3 linked regions of the Oreochromis niloticus genome follow. Each later gene encodes a partner of the first gene's protein in a complex. Links are inferred from orthologs where the notes say so. Each region holds a gene or a part of one and is shown in the gene's direction. Other genes may lie near its edges.

Evidence for each region.
Region 2: strip2 (region 1) and serine/threonine-protein kinase 26 share a complex: the UniProt entries of both Homo sapiens proteins name them as parts of the core of STRIPAK complex. The link is inferred for Oreochromis niloticus from reciprocal best matches to the Homo sapiens genes STRIP2 and STK26.
Region 3: strip2 (region 1) and strn4 share a complex: the UniProt entries of both Homo sapiens proteins name them as parts of the core of STRIPAK complex. The link is inferred for Oreochromis niloticus from reciprocal best matches to the Homo sapiens genes STRIP2 and STRN4.

Annotation. Positions count from the first base shown.
Region 1 is NC_031981.2:6,725,282-6,733,154, forward strand, and holds the start of strip2 (striatin-interacting protein 1 homolog), read left to right. Parts: upstream 1-4,689; 5' UTR 4,690-4,848; coding exon 4,849-4,959; intron 4,960-7,873. UniProt on the Homo sapiens protein: Plays a role in the regulation of cell morphology and cytoskeletal organization. Required in the control of cell shape. Calmodulin-binding scaffolding protein which is the center of the striatin-interacting phosphatase and kinase (STRIPAK) complexes.
Region 2 is NC_031967.2:37,422,224-37,429,697, forward strand, and holds the start of serine/threonine-protein kinase 26, read left to right. Parts: upstream 1-4,408; 5' UTR 4,409-4,693; coding exon 4,694-4,714; intron 4,715-7,474. Other genes in the region: zgc:77880 (palmitoyltransferase ZDHHC3), read right to left, coding at 1-65, 2,069-2,157, 3,209-3,429. UniProt on the Homo sapiens protein: Serine/threonine-protein kinase that acts as a mediator of cell growth. Modulates apoptosis. In association with STK24 negatively regulates Golgi reorientation in polarized cell migration upon RHO activation.
Region 3 is NC_031979.2:21,854,379-21,861,458, reverse strand, and holds the start of strn4 (striatin-4), read left to right. Parts: upstream 1-3,901; 5' UTR 3,902-4,249; coding exon 4,250-4,570; intron 4,571-7,080. Other genes in the region: ribitol 5-phosphate transferase FKRP, read right to left, coding at 892-2,481. UniProt on the Homo sapiens protein: Calmodulin-binding scaffolding protein which is the center of the striatin-interacting phosphatase and kinase (STRIPAK) complexes.

The DNA of each region.
Region 1 (7,873 bases):
CAAACCTCGTCTCCCTCTCACTCGTCATTTTTAATCATTTCCACCCGGTCCTCTTCAGACGCTCATTTGTATGTCGAGTCGTATGTAAACCCTCCATCCTCCCTTCCACGTTGCCAGATCTTTTATCGTTTATCTGTTAAATATGAAATTACTGAAGCTAAAGATATATACTATATTAAAAAAAAAATTTGATTCAAAAAACAAACAAAAAAAAAACTGTGTGAATGAAGACCACCTTTGAAGATTTATTTTGTGTCGGACAATTTTTCCTGTCCCTTATTTTTGTCGTCTTTTCTTTTCTACTTGTGATTTTTTTTCTTCTCTTTTTTGTGTATTATTGGGGTGGGACGGGTGGGGCTAGACTGAGGGTTTAGGCGGGGGTCTCAGGGTCCAATCATATCGTTTTATTTGATTGCGAATTGTCTGTTTTTAAGCTTTTTTTCTTATTACGCTCTTATGTCGCTACGGGTCACCCTGTAGTTTTTCTTTCTTTGTTTTTTAAAACATGACTGGAGGGTGACCACCGCCACCCCCTCACCCAAACACCTGTCACTCAAACCCACAGTGAAACCATCTCATTCGCTGCTCTTCTTTCTCACCTGCTCTAGCGACGCCAGTGTTGAAGTAATGAAAAGTATTTTTATTTGGTCCTTCACTTAAACAAGAATACTGTAGTAGAAGCATGGCAGGCTTTTGGATCATCACGAGGGTATACTGTATATTTAGATGTTTATACAGAAAAGATTTTTCTATCTTTCGTTTATTTCCTCTCCTCTAATATCATTGCAGTATAATGTTCTAATGATGCGTGTAATAAATATACTCGAACTCTCGTTTTAAATACTGTGAGAAAATATTTACAGAAATACCAAACACGCAGCCACCCTGGTACTTAAGGGAGCAGCTCACCTCAAAAATCAAATGTAGTTTGTTTGTTTGTTTGTTTTCTTTCAAATGTAGGTTGTAGCTTTGTTTGGATCTGCCTTCTCTTGAACGTCATGGAACTAAAAAGCATTACCTTCTCTTCTGGTTCTTGGCGCATTAAAAAAATCGATTTGAAACTAGGTAGCAGTGTCACTTTCGCAAAATTATGCTCCGGCTATTCAAGATAAAGGAACAAAACCCCACCCAAATATTGTGAGCAGCTTCATGTAGGAACTGTTTCCTTCCTGCTGAATTAAAACCACCCTCTCACTCATAACGCTCATTCTTGTGACCGGGTGTGAACACTAATGGGTGTCCCCCTGTCCCCTGAGCTGTTTGTTTGGCAGATGTAGATAGAAGAAATAAAATAGTTCCTACATGAAACCACCAACAACAAGATGAGATTTTTACCCACACCCTGCTGGGTGGGCGGTGTAGACACCCAGGTTTGTGAATGCGAGAGAATGAAACGATGTATGATTTTTAACTTGATACCATAGTTGCATCTACTAGGAGGCCAACAGTATTTCTGAGTTACAGCTTTAAGCGAAACCCCACTTCCATTATATTTAAGAGAAGGCAGACGCCTCTACAGCATACATCTCTGTCTGTGCAGTGTACATTGTGGATAAAATAACACTAAATGCCAGGAAAATCTATTTAATAAATGACTGTGAGGTGAGCTGTCCCATTAAGCAGATTTCTTCTGTCAGGTCCTCAGTAAAATACATGGTGCTGTTAAGAATTACTGTATTTGCCATAATCAGATGACACAACTCTTTGGTACTCACAGATGAGTTGAGCTTACAAATGAAAGACGGCACGCACACGACATCTCTGACGTGCACTAGCCTTTCAGGTCCATTTCCGCCTTTTCTCCCACCCGGAAGGCGCTTTCTTTCTTTGTCTGTCTTTCTTACGGCTGTAATGAGCTGCACGGTCGCCATCCTCTGCAGCTCGTCCCCAGCTGAGCTGACATTTGAAATTAGAAAAGCCCTGACAGTGATTTCACCTGAAGTGTACCCCGCCGCCACACCGGCTCTGGCTCTGCACCTGAACCGATCACAATCTCTTCTGACGTGCTGCGAGACGCCGCCAGCTCTGCTTTCACACACTAGGCTCAAACGCACACAGAGTGGCTCATTACCCAAGTCTGAAAGTTTACTGTATCGTACAAGATATGAAAGGTAACATTAAAAGTTTTATTTTTTGAAAAGGTGGAAGTGGCACAAAAAAAACTTTGTTTACCAGTTGAATAAGTTAGTCTGCTCTCTAAAAGTCCAAGTATGCTTTTGCAGGTCAGTTTAATCAAGTAGTTCAGCATTTTATTTTGAAGGGTTCCTGAGAGGGCTCGTACAACCTATTTGACAAGGTTTCATGCATCTATTGAAATTTTGGTCAAATAAATAAATAAAACTCTGTTCCTTTTTTGTTTTAGGCAAAAATAAGAACAATATGGGAACCCTTTAGTCAAACTTCTATACTGAGTCCCTTTCATCCGTCTCTTCATGTTGTTGACTGCTTGTCTGTAGTACTTAAACCTTTTGTCTTAAGTCTCTTTTTTCTTCCTTTTGTGCGCGCGTGTGAACGAGCGAGATGACGACGACGGTGCACATCTAAAAGTCTCTCTGTATTTGTAAGCATCCTTTCTGTTTTGTAGGCCATAGTTGCTTTGTTACCAGCTGCCTCAGGATCCTAGCCTGTGCGTTAGGGGTGGAGAAACCGTTTTGTTTTTCCGTCAGCGCTCTGCTGACCGGGTAGGCGGGGGAAGACACCAGCATCATAGATGTATATACATACTATATGCAGATATGACAACCTTTAAAAGTATAGGAAGGTAAAAGAAGAATCGACACCTGTATTTATTGTTGTAAATCCTCATACTGTTCAAACTGACAAAAATTCAACATGTTTTAAGTTGTCTAATAAAGAAAAGATAAACCCTATGTTTAAATATTGCAAGTGATAATGTTAGATGATAAGCAATAATGACAAAATTCTGTAATCTGAATGAATAAAAAAAAATGGGGAAAAAAGTTATTCCTTTGTGTGCTGCTTTATTTCTGCTACTTTTAATACACAGTCACCCAGTGTGTTCACATATAGAGAGTTTTTTTTTTTAATGTCACAGCCTGTGTTGTGTCATTGTGGATTGGTTTCTAGTTGTATTTATGTGCCGTGGAAGAAGACACGTGCAGCTGTTGAGGTCTGTCATAGCCACAGTGAGCTCATCTGAGCCAGCAGCAATCAGACGGGGACATCTCTGACATCAGCCGAGCCGAGCTGGCTCTGAGCCTCTATTTATTCTAGAAACATTAGTCAAGTTTATGTGAGCAGATTACTTTAAATAGAATCATATTGTATGTGTGTTACACTATAATCTATTTACATTCTATTTCAGCTTGTTTCTTTTGAAGCATTTAAAATGAGGTTTGGTTTGGGTGCTACAACAGTAATGTATAAGCTTAGTTTCTTATATGAAGTGTCACTGTGACAAATCTGTAGTGCTTAAGGTGGAGGGAGAGGGTGGCCTGAAGTGGGCACGGTGGTGGAGCCAGACTGACACCATTAATTTCACAGGGGTGGCTCTGAAACTGACTGCTGCTTCTTACTACACTGCATTCATGCTAGTGTAATACACAATGAGGACTCATTATTAACATTTATTTAACCAACCATTTCCCAACCAAAGAATAGACATTTTTATATTCTATATAAAGCCAGTAGTTGCCAACTGGTCTCTAGGTTTGTTGACTGGAGCCTTATTCACATAACCCTACAACGAACAACTTAATGTTACATCTGTCATGTGACTACAAATCCTGAATAGATCCGCCACTGTTGTCTGCCATCTTTTACATACAGTCTATAGTCAGGCCTTTTGAAGCTGCCTTGACCCACCTTTAAGAGAAATGAACCCTGATGATACCATTGGGATAGTTTTTGGACCAAACCTGTACTTTAGTCTGGAATTTATAACAGAAAATAGGAAACCTTGTCCTTGTGAACACTGTCTGTAGGTACTTTGCAGTTTGTCATAAGTCTGCTACCATGAAACTAAACAGTTAATGTTTTTGATAAATCCAATTTGCCTTCCTAAGAAATCGTCCATCAACTGGAATCACATACCATTATGAAAGTGAGTCTACTTGAGTTACATTTAGACAAGTTACCGCTGCTCCTCTGCCTTGCTCGAGAGTTCCTCACATCACTGTGTTTTTGTAGACCAGCTCCTTTGTTGGGTCTGCTGATTTTACACTTGGCCTGCGATGGATTTAACCACCAGTAAATTACTATTTAACCTTGAACTCTCTCACCTCCCCCATGGCCCCAGCCATGTGGCTCAAGCCTGCTCTGAACTGTTCACTCCAATCATGTCATCTTAAGTGGTTTTTCCACAGTCAGGGGGCTGTGTGTGTTTCAGTCTGCAGGACAATCCCCTCACAGCCGCATATCAATAATTCACAGGGGAAAGTGACAGGAGGTGAAATGATAAATGAAGATGCACACATATGAAGTGATCTTCGACAGTGACATCACAGCTGACGGCAGACTGTGTGGCAACTCAGCAAAGGGTCGCCCAGGGATGCAGCAGTTATTTTTATAAGATGAAGGTGCTTCTAATACTTTGAGCCATTCAACCTCCACTTTAATACACTGACATCGTTTTGGCTCCATGTGGTCAGCTGATGCGCCTCTCTTTAACTCCGCCCTCTCGGAGCGAGCAGGGACAGCGAATCAAACATATCGGGGGGGGGGGGGGGGGGTAGTCTCAACAGCAGCAGGAGGAGGAGGAGGAGATCCTCAACTTCGCTCTCCGGAGTCGGTCCCCCCCTCCTGACGCGGTGCAGTCTTGAGCTGTCCACCGGACCGGTATGCACTATCCGCGGATGAGGAGGAAGTGAGCCGAGCCGACCGTGAAAGATGCAGACGGAGGACATGGAGGTACCTATCATTAATAACCTTAACGATAACGGCGACAGACAGAGGCCGAAAGGGAAAGATGTGTTCAAGGATCAGCAGAAGGAGTCAGAGGTAAATCCAAGTACAGCACAGCGGGCTCCCACAGCTCCTGGTACAGGAGCGCACTGGACGGCTGTGTGTGCGTACGTGTGTGTGAATGTGTGTGTCGTTGCTGGGAAGCTTTCAGATCAGCTGAATGTCCTTTCCATGCAGCGAGTCGCCGTCTTGGCTCGAGAGCATGCCTGCATGCATGCGGGCAGACGGCGAGGTGTTATTTTGGCAGCGGCTCCTATAAATAACCCAGCAGTAATCCTACAGCGGTGCTCAGCGTGGGGGACTGCAGGTGGTGAAATGTGACTGCTGCTCCCAGGACCACCGAACGTAACTGCATATCATATTTATGTCCTCGTGGTGTCCTTTTGGCATCTGGAGTGCATCCTCCATTTAATCAATCAGAGAATCGGATCAGTTTTTGGCAGTCCGCCTGCCCCTCAGATGAGCCTTTATTGGTTTTATTTGGTATCTTTGTGAGAGGAGGGATTTGGTTTAGTACGCTTTCTTGGGAACTGAAATAAAAGTGGCTACCAGAAAATAAAATATGTGCAAATTTAAAATCTTTGAGGTTTGAACTACAGTATGAATGATATACTGGTGGCACAATAATAAGTTGATACTGGCCTGTCACAAATATAGAGTTGTTTGGGATATATATGAATGCTTGGGAAGGTTCAGAGACCTAATCTGGATGCTACAATCCCACTAAATGTACAGTTGTTTCCAGTCCCGTGCATATCACCAGCAGGTGCCCTCCTCTGCCTTCTAGCTATCTCTGGAGGCTGTTATCATTTACATCATTTTTTTTTTTTTTACATCTATTGTAAAAAAATATTTTAAAAAGAGATTCATGAATGATGAAAATATGTAGTCAGCTTAAACGTTGTGAGTTAGAAAGTTTCAATTTGTAATGGGTTTTATATAAATAAGATTGTATTTTAACTCAAACTGCATCAAGAAATGATCTCCCTAGACTATTAGACTATAATTGCCTTCTGAGTTATTGCTACAAGTCAGGGTGGATCAATGTTTTGATGTCATTTGCAGCAAATATCAACCCTGTTGCAATAGAAATCGAGACTCATCCAACCAGGCAATGTTTTTTTTTTTCAATCTTCTGCCTGATTTTAGGGAGCTTGTGCAAATTGTACCCTCAGTTTCCTGTTCTTAACCGAAAGGAGTGGGACCCATTGTGCTCTTCTGCTGCTTCAGCAGCAAAGATGCTGATCCCAGTAGAAATCCCAGTTGATTATCACCTTTCTTCACTATTCTGATACTCAGTTTGAACTTCCGCAGGCCGACTTGAATGTATTGACTTGTTGCCACGTAATTGGATGATTAGTTATTTGCATAAACAAGCTGTTGAACAGGTATCCTTGAAGTAGCTAGCAAGTGTATATAAATAGAATATTGACTAATATGTTGATATTAGAGCCTTTTTACTGTCTAAAAATTTGTACCTGCAAATCCAGTATGAGTTTGTGTTTGAACTGCTGGGTGTATATTGGAATCAGCCAATAAATCAATTTTTTTACATCATTGCAGTATCCTTTTTTTGATAAAAAGACTGAGGCGGTCCCATAGGTCTGGGGTATAAGCATATTTTCTGTGGTTTAAAGAGTGTTTAGAGCCACTGTAGACTGCTTATGGGAGTCACCTTCTGTAATATGGACCTGTAAGCTGTAATCTCCTCCGCTATTTCTAAACATGACGCTGGCGAGGCTTGTTGTTAAGGCTCCCTCAGTGCTCGGCAGCTATAATTCATCCTCCTCATGAAAAAATTACTAGCTGATGGGCTTCATTGGTGGGGTTACTCGGTCCAGATACATAAGAGATGTTACTCAGAGTGCGTTGAAGCCGAAACCATTCAGAGTGCTTTGAAAGAGGACGCTGAATGTTTTTGGGGGGAATTAGAGCATATTCATCTTACAGTCGTTGGATTGTGGGATAGGGGGTTGGGGGTGAGTGAATGAGGTTCCCTGGCCTCTACAGTTGAACCAGGAACCTCAAACCTGACTCCGTCGTGTACGTGAACTGTTTGTCTTTTTTGCTGGCTGGAGTGGTCATGTCCATGTTGGCATATGTTGGTAGGAGAGGGGGCGTTCAGCCTTGACACTGCGCCCAGTGTTTGCACGCTGATGCGGTGTAGAGCGTGCAAACACAGGAGCCGTGCCAGTTCAGTTTGGAGCCGGGGCGATTTTGGTTATCAGCTGGCGGCAAAGAGAAGAGGAGTGAACGAGAGTGAACAGGGGGGAAAATGAAGGAGTGGAAGAGAGAGACTGGGTAATTGTAAGGAGAAATGGAAGAGTAGCAGCAGACGAGGAAGAGAGAGGAGAGGCATGAGAATTAAAGAGAAACAGAAAGAGACATGTCATTTCGGTTTGGGCAGAGGAGTTAACTTCAGTTTCAGGGATGCCAATGGAGGACTGAGGGACTAAGAGACTCAGTAATATCATCTATTTAAGTAATTTATCAAGGCTAATTAAGCCTAAGTGAAAGTGTTAAAGGCCTTGAAAACAAGTCGCCTCAATCACTTTTACTTTCAGGAGTGGGCTCTTGCATGATCACACAATTTTCAGTGTAAGCTAAACAGTTTGGGTTGTTTTTCTTGAATTTTTGTATATTCTTCTGCATAAAGGTAATCTAGGAAATTTTTGCAGGTTCATACATGTCTTAATTTAGCAATTTTAAAATGAACTGACAGTTTTAAGGCTGTTTGGTTACACTTAATGTTGTAAACAATTATTTTATTGACTAAGAAAACTAGTAATCATAGGAATTTTATGCATTGTTTAATTATTAATGATGAATAATGTTAATAAAGGATGGTTTTGTAATAGCTGTAATATTATAGTTGCTACTAATTAGATGAATTTCACTTGATAAAAGTTGCCTGACAAAATTGTTTTTTCTGAAACATGCATTTGTAATG
Region 2 (7,474 bases), on another chromosome or scaffold:
CATCCGAGACGACTGAGAGCGGAGGTCCGAGAAGTCGATGGCCGTGTCAGGAAGAGGCACCATACCTGAACACACAGTCACAAAAGACATTTGTTTGGATGTTTCCACCCAGAACCCACAGTGTGTGTTTTCCTTTTTCTGTCCTCGACAGAGTGCGTTTTCCCTACTCTCGTTTTGTTTATTTATATTTCTTCCACAATAGTCGAGTGGTGCACCTAAAATTTCACTGTATACATATAATGACAATAAAGAGCTATTCTATTCTAATTATGGACTTCTTTTTGTTGCAGTCAACCTTAGCGTACCTCTTTGATTCCTAGGGCAACTTTGTGTACTAAGTAGAGATGCACAGATAGATGCACAAGGGCCAAACACATGTATGTGCTGATATTATCAGTTGTTTCAAATGGCTTTAGTTATTGTGCTTAATCCTGACTTAAAAAGATGGACTAGCAGTGAAAAGTTGACCCTATGTTTTTGTGAGCTGAATGGAGAAAGAAATTATGATGAAGAGCTGAAAAACTTTCAAAGAGCAAAGTTAGTAGTTTATAAAACGATATCTGCATTACCCTGAAACAAAGGGAGACTGCTACCAGCCCTGAATGTCTCTAGTGCAAAGCTAAAAAGCAACACTGGGCGAAACCAAAGCTTTCCTTTTTTAAAAAAAACCCCAAAACTTAAGCTTAAAGAAGTCATCTTGCAACAAGCGCCCACATTTGAATCTGGATTTTATCTGCCTTGCTGTCCACATCTTTAGCACCACTCACAATTTCCAGGATTGTAAAACTGATCTAGATGTTTTCCTGGACATGTGCAACCTTGGCTGGTTGAGATCTGAATAGTAAAAGACAAACAGAGTAATATAGCGTACGCAGTTAAGTGCCAGGAGGATTGCCATGATTTATACATCGGGGAAACCAAACAACCTCTGGTGAAGTGGATGGCACAACACAGAAGAGCTACCTCGTCAGGCCAGGACTCTGCAGTCTATTTACACCTACAGGCCAGTGGACACTCTTTCAATGATGAGGATGTACACATCCTGGACAGGGAGGAACGCTGGTTTGAGCGCGGAGTCAAGGAGGCCATTTACGTGACAAAGGGAAAGACCATCTCTGTATCGAGGAGGGGGGCCTAAGGGTACATAATTCGCCATTTTACAATGTTGTGATTGCAGCCATTCCCCAACATTCCCCCCTGTGAATGGCCATTGATTAGTGGTCTTTGATGAATGGTAATGAGAAATGGTATATACAGTTGTCCCTCGTTTATCGCAGGAGTTACGGTCTAAAACTAACCTGCCATAGGTGAAATCCGCAAAGTAGCCAACTTTATTTTTTACAGTTATTATAGATGTTTTAAGGCTGTAAAACCCCTCACGACACACTTTATACACTTTTCTCAGACAGGCATGAACATTTTCACACTTTTCTCTCTTGTTTAAACACTCTCAAAGTTCAAACCTTCTAGAAAAATAAGTCCAGTATTATCGAATGAAACCAAAGGCACCTGCAGATGACGATGTTTCGTCGACATTCTTGTGTTTGTTGGGGAGAAAACTTACAAACATACAGTACAGCACTTCAGAGTCACACGGCTAGCGATCGAAGATTTATGTAAATTTGACAAGCTGAACGCATTCTGAACTGTACAGGAGACATGGCACGGAAGAGATTGACTGACAATGGTCTACAGCCAATCAGGACACAGAACACAATGCGCTGTAAAAACAACAACAAAAAAAACATAAAAACAGCGAGAAACAGCGAGGTTGCGAAAGGTGAACCGTGTTATAGCGAGGGACCACTGTAATGATCAAGGAACTGACCTCCGAGTCCATTGTTCCTTCAGTGGTGAGCAAATGTACTGTTTATAAAATTGGGGAAACCTTCAGTCAGCTGAGACTGAAGAAGTTGCTTGGATGAGTGACGAAACATTTTTCCCCCTGAAAACGCTACGTCCAGATGAACAGAATCAACTTTTTGGTGTGTAAAAGACTTTAACTTTATGAAAGCTAAATCTGACACACTGTGTGTGTGTGTGTGTGTGTGTGTGTGATTTTACTGACCAGGATCTGAGAAGACAGCTTTGGAGTGGCAGGCAAGCAGCAGCAGCAGAATGAGGTTGAACACTGACCCGTGGAGAGTACACCACACACTGTCAGAGACACAGAAGAGACATGCGATTATTACACTTCCTCATTTAATCTTCTTAGGAGAATTTTATTTTATTTTATTTAGATAACGCCAATTCACTACAGCAGTCACCTCTGGGTGCTTTATGCTTAAGGTAAAGACCCTACAGCAGTACAATGATAAAAGTCATCAGAGCTTCAGTGAGTCCACGGTACATTTAAATATCCTATAAATGAAGTTCATGATCACAAAAGACAAAGAAAAGCTGATATTTTTTGCATTAAACTACAACTTAACTGAGCATAAGTTTCTCTGAAGGGGCTGGATGACTGCTCTGTAACTTTGACAACTTTACAATTTTAATAAAATACGTTTTACAGCAGAAATATTAGTCCTCATAAATGTCTCCTTTGCTTCTAAATAGTCCTGGTTACATCCAATTTCATATAAAACTGTACAAAAATAAGCACAAAGCACTACATTTGACTGAAAATAAGAGTAAAAATAAATAAACACATACACAAACAATTTTGTGACGCTAACCTTTAAAATATTTGGGTGAAAATTGAGGAAGTGAGCCCATCTCAGCTCAGGAACGTCTGAATTTGACATGAAGACTTGGTTAACGGAGTTTTGAATTTAGGACGAATTAAAGAGCAACACTCGTTGGTTTAGGAAAAGCTGTGATTCTGGTTCTAAAGAGGATTTTTAATCTCAGACAGGCAGAACAACTTTAAATTACCCAAAATTTTGAACGACAGCTGGACTCGTCAGCTCCAGAGCAGGCTAATGAAACGCCTCAGCTACGAAAACAAACTGAAAGCCACCTGTGATGGAGCGCGAGCCCGGTAACAAAAACCGCCAAAGACGTGAACGGGAACGCGATTAAAGCCACATTACAGTGAGAACAAACGAGATTTGATTCAGTTTGACTGAGCTGAGGATGAAATCGTGAGGATGCCGTTACTGTTGATCTGTTTGCTGTCAAATGAATGAAGGCAGAGCAGAGAGGCGGGCGACATGTTGAAGGATTTTTTACGGATTTAAAATGCGCGAAAATACAAAACACCCACCTGTCCGAGTACGCGGGGATGAGCACGTACTGTATGACCACATAGTCCGCATAAAACACGCTGAAGTAAGTTAAAATCAGGCAGATAACGCCGCAGGGATCTCGCCTACAGCGAAGAAACGCCATCTTCTCCCGGGCTCCACCCCCCGTCCCCCGCTTCCGGGTGACGTCAGATGGAAACTTCAAGCCGCCTTCCAGGACCGTCGAGAAAAGGAGATTCATGTTTAAAGGGCCAGTTTATCTTGTTTTTCTTTGTCTTCAAAAGAGATTAAATAACATTTGACTCAACAAATAACTCTTTTGCTCTGTTGTTCCTTTATTGATACACTTAAGCAGGAGAGCCTTCAGTTTTCAGACCTCTCTTCTGTGGAACCAGCTTCCAGTTTGGATTCAGGAGACAGACACTATCTCTACTTTTAAGATTTGACTTAAAACTTTCCAAGCATGGCTAACTCCCAGGTATTAATCCCAGGGTTGTGGATTCAAGCCCCACGTTAGGCACTCCTGTTACATATTTTTACTTAGTAAATATTAGCGTTTTAGCATTAGCATTTTAATAATACACTATATAGTTTTATATAGTATAAAAGGGTTTTAATAAACCATATAGTTAGGGTTGGATCAGTTGACCCTGAATATTCCCTTAGTTACTCTGCAATAGGTCTGTGTTGCTGTGGGATTCCCACGATGCACTGTTTCTTCTTCAGGCACCTTTTTTCACACACTGTATATTTAAACATTTGTTGATATGAATCTCTGGCTCTCTTCCACTAACCCTTAACAAGCTGCATCAGAAGACCGCCCCTCCCTGAGTCTTGTTCTGCCCGAGGTTCCTTCCTGTTAAAAGGGAGTTTTTCCTTCCCACTGTTTCAAAGCATCTACTAATGGGGGTCATCTGATCATGGGGATTTCTTTTTAAATCTTACCCTTCAGTCTAAAGACCTCAAAGTGCCTCCTGTTCTAAATCGGTGCTATATAAATAAAATTAAATCGACCTGAACCGAGGTATCTAATGAAGTGGCCGGTAAGTGTGGGCAGCTGTCAATTCGAAGCAGATTTGGACTTACACCTGAAGGCAGCATGAACCACAGACAGGAACAGTTATGATCAGCAGGTGGCAGTAGAGGTGTATGCGAAGCTGATATTCACACACCGTCGCTCCTCCCTTGAAGGAGGCAGAAACCTGCGCGTCATCCTCTCCGTCCACTTCTTCTTCTGTGCTCACTCTGTCACTGTGTGTTTGTAGTTTGTTCACTTCAGCCGCCTGCAAGTTAAACCGCCGTTCCCCTCGGATACAGTTCTTTCACTTCGAAGTCAAAACTGTCTACTTATTTCTCTTTCGAGAGCTTTGTTGTATTGTGAAGAAGCTCGACGAGGATTTTTAAAAATATATATATATAAAGAAGAAGGCAGGAGTCAAAGAAGGAGGAGGATAAAAAGTGACAAACCTGGAGGAGGAACAGGGCGTTCATACTTCGAAGTAACCATGGAAGTTCCTGGTATGCAGGTAAGGAGGAAGGTGGACGTGCTGCTGCTGTTGCTGCTCTTCTCTGGGTTTTTAATCGTCTTCATAGGGAAAACTGGAGCTGGTTTTTATGAGAAGTGGAGGGGAGATTGTGCAACTGCTTCATGTTTCCTTTCTTTGTAAGAGTGATTACCTGTTGTGTATTTGAGCCATAGAAACACACTAACATACAGCACTGTGTATTCAAATAAACAGACATAGGTCTCCACACCCAGTAAAAAAACATTAGGGAACAGTGACTTCTCAGATCTTGTCTAGCTGTGGAAAATGAGTTTATGGTGAAAATCTCACATAGTGTTATCATATTACTGCACATCATATTACTAATGATGTGCATTTCTACCTGATTATTCGACCTATAATGTACATGTGCTGACTCATTAAGTGATGTAGCTTCTCCAGATTGTGGCTGTGAAATGAAGCTACACTTGTGTAAAATGTGGCTTTGGTTCCTTAAATTGAGCTAGCTTTTATTTTATGATGTTTAAATCCCTTACATTTGGGTGTTATATTTACATAGTTGCTCAATACCTTGCTCAATCAACCTTAGGGTGTTTATATCTATAGTAAGTGTAATTCCAATACTTCTGTAGCAGCTTATATCATAACTTCTCAAAGTTTAGTTTACAGGGCCTTTATATCTTGATGTGACCTATAGTGTGGATTTAATGACCTATAAAGTTATTTAGCTTATTGAAATTGTGAGGTTGTGGTATTTTTTTTTTTTTTTATCATTTAAAGTGTACTCATAATGGAACTCTGAGGCCATAAACTGAGTTTCTTTTTATTTTATGCTGTTTAAATCCCTTTAAAGTTGGGTATTTGCTTAATAATGTGACTAAACTTCTCCAAGTCGACTTCATTGTAACCTTAGGTTGTTTATATCTATAAAGAGTATAACTATAATACTTCTATACTAGCTTATATTGTGACTTTGGTGCTCTAAGTTTAGTCTAAATTTTGAATTGAAGCTGTTTATGTTGCATCAAGTGCCCCTACAATACACATTTATAGCGAGTTTAAGCTTATTTTAGAGTGTTTAAATCTTTTAAATGCAACTGTAATCTTCATAGAAAGATTTATAAACTGACTCGGCTTCTATAAAAATAAGCTTACAGTAACTTCTTAGGATGTTTTTGTGACTTCAAGGGTAACTGTAATACTTGCATACAAGCTTGTACACTTAGTTTAGAGTGACCTTATCTCTTAATGTGACCTATAATGTGTGCATGATGATTTATAAGGTGAGCTTTGTGAAATAGCGAATTTGTCGTGTTTATACAATTTAAAGTGTACCCATGATGTCTCTCTGGTTCCCTAAAACTAGTTTGATTTTATTTCATGGTGTTCACATCTCTTAATGTGAACTAATATATATCGATATTATCTCATTATTGAGTTTACTGTATGTTCAAGGTGGTTATAGCTGTAAAAGTGTGACTACAGTGTTTCTGTAGTGGCTTATATTTTGGCTTTGTTGCTTCATATTTAGTTTACAGTGTCTTGTAATGTGTCACGATGGCTTGTGTTGTGACTTTGTTTTACCAACCCGAGCTGAAGTGTGACTCTGTGGTTTACATACCGTCTGATATATACATGCGATGAATTACAGTGTGACTCTGCTGCTCTAAAAATGAGTTTATTTAACTCTCTTGTGTATTTAAGACTTAAGACTTCTAAAAAATCCAGTTATTGTGACTTAATGTGCTGCTTGTAATCCAGGCACACTTTATGATAACAAAATGTATCTGCCTCTTATCACATCCATATATTTAGTTATCATCAGTCTGATATCGCAGACTCACATTACATTGACCTTAATTCTCCTGAACCTGACTTATTTTCTGATTATATCAGTTTTGTGTTTATGTAATGTTTCCATAGTGACACATTTTATAGGCCTCTGTCTTTATCTCCTCAATGATGTGAGCTATGCGTAACCCAAAGGTGTGTCTATCCTTCATGATTTCCCGTAACACTCCATGTGTTAATGACCTATTCTGTATCTGTTGCTCGGCAGCATTGGTTGATATCTTTTATAGGACATCCATTACCTTTAGTCTAGTCTAAAATCTACTCCGGGATCATGCTTTCCGTTGGAAGTCGTATTGGAGGAAACTCTGCAGGTATGCCAGACTTGTGCCAGTAAGAAACAAAAGGTGTGTAACATGAATTAGAAGCGTGTAAAAGCCTCCAACCTGTTGCTCAGCCGGCTTTCAGGTGTGTCTACCTGTGGGACTGGCTCGCCGTGTCTGCTCTGTGCATCCCAGGTGGGCGGGGCCACAAATGGTGTCACAGGCTGCTTACATCAACACACCTGACGCCCGGCACCGGCTGCCGCAGCATCGAGGCAAACAGCGAGGTTTGCTGCCAGTAAGAGCAATGATGCATAGTGGAAAGTGCTGTGCAAGACTGGAGCTACCTGATCAGTGGATTAGGTGACAGGAAATGTATTAGTTGTTGGGTAGTTATTCTTTTAAGCATAAATATCAGTTATGGTGGGTTTCAGATCACTTTTAAAAATACAATATTATATATTTGCTTATGTGGCTGGAAATCTTTTTAAGCAGATGATAGCCAGTGGGGCCCAAGAGTATGTATTGTTGGCCTAAATCTATAAGTAACTTTGCCACTTTGGTCTCTGGTAGCTTAAAGGTGATATAAATATTTTTTATATTATGGAAGAATTGAATCGCTAAGTGCGTTAAAAGGGTGCTAGTTATATTATAACCACTCGGAAAT
Region 3 (7,080 bases), on another chromosome or scaffold:
TTCCTTTTCATAGTATTTATTAATATGTAATTATTTATTTGAATTCTAAGGCCTGGTAGAGCAATCGTCCATAACAGCATGAATGACACAGGTGTGCTTCTCATTTCATTAGATGGAAGTCTGCTCAGCTGCAGTTACCAGCTGGCTCTACCACAAACTAACATTCACTCATAAACTGAGACGTGCAAAACAAGGCAACAGAGTTCAAAAATCAGAAAATACCTGTTAGGCTAAAGCCACTTACTTAACACACACAAGTCTGTATAATACCTTAAATCCTGCTTAAGATAAAATACATTTTAATTTTAAAAAATCGTTTTTTTCAATTATCTACCTTTTTTTTTTTAAATTACAGCAGTAGTAGTTCAATGTTTCTGTACAACACATACACACCACAGCCTTATGTCAGTACACTAGTGTATGGATTTAAACTTTTCAAGTGTGTCTTTCAAACAAAACGCTACCGCTCAGGCAAATAAATAACGTGTGTTCAACATTAGACTTTACATCCGAACCACAGGAAGAACAATCTAAGCATGCAATACACCGTCTTCTGATACACATGTGGTGAAGGTAACAGTAAATGCAGTCGTTTTGGCACCGTATTAAACCTTTTTTCACACATGAACTCCAGAAAATGTTGAGACGATTAGATGTGGATGTCACACAGACACGAGGTGCTCGACCATTTACGGTCAGATAAGACTGTGTCGGACATTTGTGCTCTCACGTGAATCTCAGTTTGGTAATGTCTCAAAGCATTCAGGGCTGCAGTGCATGTGTGAAAATGGCTTTACTTTCCAGACAATATCTTTCACAGAAAATTATTTGAGGCAAGATTTTCTTTGTATGTAGGTAAACCTAAATGGGTCTGTAGCCCTCCGGTATGACTCATAATTTGCTTCTGTCCAGTCTCTTTTTTGCAGGGTTGGGATACTGGGGGTTCTCAATCACCCCCTCTCCAAATTTAAGTTCCAAAAAGGCTCTGTGGTTGTTAGGGCCATAGGCAGTGATGCCAGCAAAAGGCATGGGTACCAGTGGCTGCAGGAAGTGTTCTGGGAACTCCACATCTTGTTTATGTTCAGTCCACGTATCTTTGGTCATGACGCCATTACGTGGATAGAACGGCCAAAGGTCAACGTGCAGGTGGTTAGCCTCACTGTACTGGACCCTGTAGAAGTCTCCTTCCACCGCACGCTCCCACACATAGCCATTAGCATCCACCAGAGAGCCTGAGTCCAGGTTCTTTAAATGATCGCAGTTGGGTACATCCTCCAGGTAGATACCAAGGTCTACATCATAGTCCCATGGGATGATATCTTGATGGCGAACGGCGCCCAACAGAGTACCTCCCTCTAGCCAGTAGCGCACACCTGAGCTCTCCAAGATATTGATAACATACTTGGTGGTTTCCCTGAGTGCTCGCAGACAGCAGGGAGGTGTCCAGCGGTCCAGATACAGATAGTCTGGAGTGTCATCCTGCACAGTGCCAAAGCAGCGTGGTGTCTCTTTGCTGCAGCCGTACCACTGTTCCCTCCCATCAGGCAGCAGAAGACGCTTCAGACCAAAGCTCCTCATTAGATTCCCCGTGGCCTCCTTCAGTCGAGTGTCAGCCTTCCACTGGTTGTGAGCAGAGCTGAAGAGAGGCCGATGGTTTGCAGAGAAACAGGGGCCTTCCAGGAGTTTGACCTTCCAGCCTCTCAAAGAAGTCTGGATGAAGAGTGAGGAGAAGAGAGGCCGTCCAAGAGGGACAGAGAGGTTAAAAAGATCCTCGGTCCGAATGAGTACGACTGCATCTCCCTGTAAAGCTGTACATACACTCCCACTGCTCCCTGATGCAGCTGTTGAATAGATAGCTGTCCACTCTCTGAGGTTCACCCGCAAGTGGAGACACTGCACAGCAGATCGAGCCAATACGGGCGCAGCTACTAACCTCACAGGCCCTCCACCCTCTCCTTCCAACTCTCTGATTAACCTCTCAATAGCCCTTGGTTGCTCCAGCTCCACTCCATCAGGCACTAGCAGCACAAACTCTGTTTGCACATGAAACTCAGGCCTGTGAGCTTGTGGTGGTTGGTCTGGGCTGGGGGACAGCACAAGAAGCCGAGCACCCTCCGGAAGCGCCAGTGGAGGGTACGGTGATGTGTCAGCTACAGCCAGGAAGGGAAGCTCTGGCCTCTGGTGAAGGAAGGAATTAGCAACATCCCCGACATAGTTTTCAAAATGTTCAAATTCCCGAAGAAGAACAGTTACACGTGGGCCTCGACTGTGTCCCTCCACTCCAACCACTCCAGGCTCACCTCCAGCTCCTGCAAGTAACCCCCCGAGACCAGAGGCTGGTAGGGCAGCCCTTCTTGTGCCCCTGCCAAGTTCTTTCCTCTTCTCCATCATTTGCTGCTGGGCTCGGGACACATAATAGAGAATGAGGAGGTTGAGGATGATGGCGACAGTTAACAAGCCTTGACAGAAACTGATCCGCATGGCAACTAATATTTGCTTTGCAGTTTATTTCAGGAGAATAACTTAAGTTTGAATCAAGAAATCCAGTGGCTGGTCTCGGACCCCCATCAGTGTAACAGAGAGTCGCATGCAACCTGTAAATGACAGAAAAATGTTGCGTTTTGGTTCCAATACCACAGGCTTACGTGTAAATATAATGTATTGATCTGCATATGTATATCAAAATTCGCACACAGGATATTTAATTTAAACAAAGTAGTCAGTGAATGACCCAAGCCATAATCACATTCTTGTGGAATTAGGACATGACTGCCCCATGACAGGTTTTCTTTTATAAATAAAATATGTCTAGTTGCATTAGAAATGAATGAAAATAGGATAGTAGCAACTCACCTTCATCTGAATGCATCTGTTTTATTTCATATGAGACAATCGTTTGCAGGGCCATCATATCATTCAGAAGTTAACAGAGGCTTTACCAACGTTAAGCCAATTATGCCCGTTATGCTCGCTATATGTGGATTTCATGATGATCTTTTGGAGCTGGTAGCGTAGTAGCTACCGAGGTTGAATCGGCAGCGGCAAACACAGATATTAACTTGAGTTTAGCTCATATTTGTACGGCTGTGGAAGAAATAGTCTCCAATATTTTTGGAAGAAACTCACACTTAATGGTCAAAAGAATATTTCAAAAGCGCAAGGCTTAACACAATCCCAAACAAGAAACCCAGCTGCACGAATTTAGCATGAAGCTATCACGCTGTTGCCCGCAGCAACAGGACAACTTCCGGTTGGAATCCTTCAGAATAAAGCTATTCTGTCCAAATTTGGAAAAATCTATGAATTTAGCTATTTAATGAAAGGCACATATTTTACGCAATAACCGCTTCAGAGTTATCCCAGTTACCTGGCGTCTATACCTAATCTCTTACGTTTTAAAAGAAGAAAAACATATTGCTATAATATAAAATATAAGATATAACTACAAATGTTATTGCATACGTTATAAGGATATAAGCAATATAAAAAATATAAATATAAAGATGATATGAAGAAAAATTATAATTCACGTTAACTTGTTATATATTACAAATGTGTCCCCAAGGCTTTTTTATTGTTGTTTTTGGTCTATGGCTGTTTTCATTTCACAATTTATTCCCCCGCACCCACCCCCAAAAAAATCAAAGATAAAATCTCGACCGGAAATAGCATTGTTGATTATTGTAGCTAACTTTATCGTTCCCGAAACCATTCCTGCTCACAAAATGGCAGGAAATTCATTCCCCTAGCGACATATTCATTGTCTATTATAGAAAACATGGCCCTTTATTTGTCACCCGCACTGGGCATTTCACGAGGAGGAAACTGATCTGGGATCCGGGATATACAAAATAAGAGCAACAAAAAAAAAAGGAAAAAAAAGTTTACGCTTATTTTCAGGTGCATCACATTTAATAAACGCTGTCTGTTGTTACTTTATTTTGATGTTAGTTTTAAGACTGGACGTAACACTTTTTGTGAAAAGGGATTTGTTACAAAATCAACGGGGCAACGATGTTACACTGCGGTTAGATTGTGTTTTGCGCTGAAGGTTTGGAAGCGGAAGTGTATTATTTTACCAACAGAATAGTAATTTTTCTCTGTGCGTGTGAGAAAGGAAGAAAGGAGGGTAGCTTATAGTGAAGTGGAGCTGGGTTTGGAAAAGGGCACGGGGTACTTTTTTATATTTTTATTCGTCCATTCTGTCCGTTCCCATCTCATTATCCTGGCGAAAGGTTGAATAGTTAAAATGGAGGCGGACAGAACCGGCGGAGGATCTAACCCGAACTCCGGAGGCGGCGGCGGCGGCGGCAGCAGTGGAGCGGGGCGCAACCCAAACGGGCCTAAAGCAGGACCGGGCCAGGCGACATCAGCTGGTGGGACCGGGGCAATGGCAGCGGCCGCAGCAGCAGCCGCTGGGGCCGTCTCTGGACCGTTGCAGCAGTCACGGGAGCCGCAAGACGGGGAGTCGGGGATGACGCTTCCTGGGATCCTGCACTTCATCCAGTACGAGTGGGGACGCTTCCAGGCCGAGAAATACCGCTGGGAGGCTGAGAGAGACGAACTCAGGGTAAACGTATTCATCATTAAACCCGGGTTTATGTAGCTGTAACGCCAAGAAAGGGCCTGGAAGGATTTGACCGGAGCTCCTCCGGTGTCGCTTCGCGGATGTACACATGCCCTGCTATCGGTCAGTTAGAGGATGACAAAATGCTAATAAGCTAGCATTACAGTTGACCAGGATGCGTTATTACTAGACAGTAGATGATAATGTGGGAGCTGTTTGACCTCCAGTTGAAAGAAGCCACCAATACTCTTTTAAACATAAAACATTTTTGTGTTAAAAAAAAAAAAAATCTATAGATATAGATATATATATAAAGATATATAAAAATATATGCCTCCTGGGCTTCTAAGGTCGATACAGTCAATACAGATACACACCACAAGATTAGATAATAGACTTTTATGTCTTCCCGGAATAGCAAGCAAGCTATCGTGCAAATAAAAAGGTAGGCAAACAGTTTAGGTGTGGCTATCTTGTCTTTCCATATTATTTCATGCAGGTACACATGGAACTCACGCTTTCTGTCACACGTTATTTTAAGATTTTTGGCATTTTACTAGGATGTGCAAATACACGTTAGTTTGTAAGGAGACACTTATCTGATTTTTCGTACTCCACAGAGACAACTCAAGTGATCTGTGGGTGTGTTGTTGTGGTTAAAAAAATGATAACAGTGCTAACCAGCTGTGATTTCCCTTTGCAATTGCTGCATTCAAAATAATAAGTGAGTAAGCATTCCTTAACTGCCCTTACTTAAGACAATTCTCCCTAAAACAGTAGTTTGATTGCTGTAATACGTATTCATAAAATAATTTGCACAATGAGACACAATGATCAGTTTGACCTTTGAACTTAGGCACACAACACAACTAAGTCACACTGAGATGAAGTTCCTGAATGGATCATGCGTTGTGATCTGTAGTACCAATGCCTCCATACCTATGGCACACACACAAATTAGCATTTTGAGCTAGGACCAGTTACACACACACACACACACTCACACAGTCAATCAGTTGTGTGGTGTATCTGTGTCTATGTATATATGTATGGAGTAAAGTTGTATTTTCATTAACAATGATTAAAACATGAGTATTGATAAATAACAAGTGTTAGGATGAAAATTTGTAGTTGTCTATCTGCAGCCAAACTTGCGTTTGTATATTTTATCTTTACTTTGTATAGTGTGTTATTAGTGTGTGTATATAATGACCTTAAAAACAATATATCTGCCTATAGGCTAGAGAAGTGGACTATCATCCTTAAAGGTAAATGGTTTAAAGCTGTAAAATGCCCCCCCTAAAAAAAAAAAAACGAATGTGAGCTTGTGACTCTGTGCCATAGGAATTCCCATGAGCAATACCTGAGTTCCCTGAAGGTCCTAGTTATTCAGATGCCAACAGCAAAAGACAGACGTTGTACTATTCACCTCATCTGCATGCATAAAATTAAAAGGCAGAGCAATACTGGGCAAGTTTGTGCATACTCATCAGATTTTTCCAGGATTAAGAAAAGTTAGGAAAACATACAAACATATTTTAACTCTGCGTTTGGACAGTTCATCTTTTCATTTGTGGTTATCCCTCAAGTAACTACAGTGTTTTTGGTAATAAGAATGAACTCCCCTCTTGAGTTCATGAGTTTGACAAAACCACAGGAAAAAAACCCTCAAAAAACCATAAAATTTCCCTCTCCTCTGTCATTGTGCTTCTCACATTGCCCCTAACTCAAACATACATAGTTATAAATAGTGGCTTGATAAAATATGAATGAACAATAACAAACGGGCAGCGCTTGCTGCTTTTATAAAAACGAGGGATGAGTGGGAATGGAAAGCAGAAACAGCGGATTGCTGTGTCCGAGGTGCTATTAAGTGCTTGTTATGGAACTTTGTTTGCGTTTGCACATTGGCTGCACATGGTCTGGCTTCACGGGTACAATTAGCACCACGCTTGTGCTGAGAGAAAGAGAAGATAACTGGAGTGCCATGCTGAAAAACTGACCTAGCTTACATTTTAACACCCACAGGCCAAAGGCCTCTGGCTTTTGTTGCCAACTTGCTTGCAGCTCTCCTCTCACTGAGCCAGTTATTGTGCCCCCTGGTCATAACCTGAACAGTTAACATGCTGTAAATGTTTCCATAGTGTAGTTTGCTCACATGTTGCCTGCACATGGTATTTTACACACTTTATTTTCAAAGGCTTTACTGAGTCACATGCAAAATTAACTCACAATCACTTGAGATCTGTGTGACTTTGTGTGCAACCTAGTAGATCTCTTCATGTGGAGCTTAGCATGTCTCTGCGAGATCACGACACGTGTGCCGCTACTGTGACCGTGTTGGTGTGTAAAGCCACCTGTGGTGCTGTGTCTTCACTGACAGGTGGCAGTGGCTTTTGCCTGTCTATAATTCAATCACTTAAGAAGCCGCTCTGGCAGCAGTGTTGTTTCTAACTAGGCATTGTTTTTGCATGAGCACAATTCTAATTTAATCTAAAGACTATTCCTCAGAT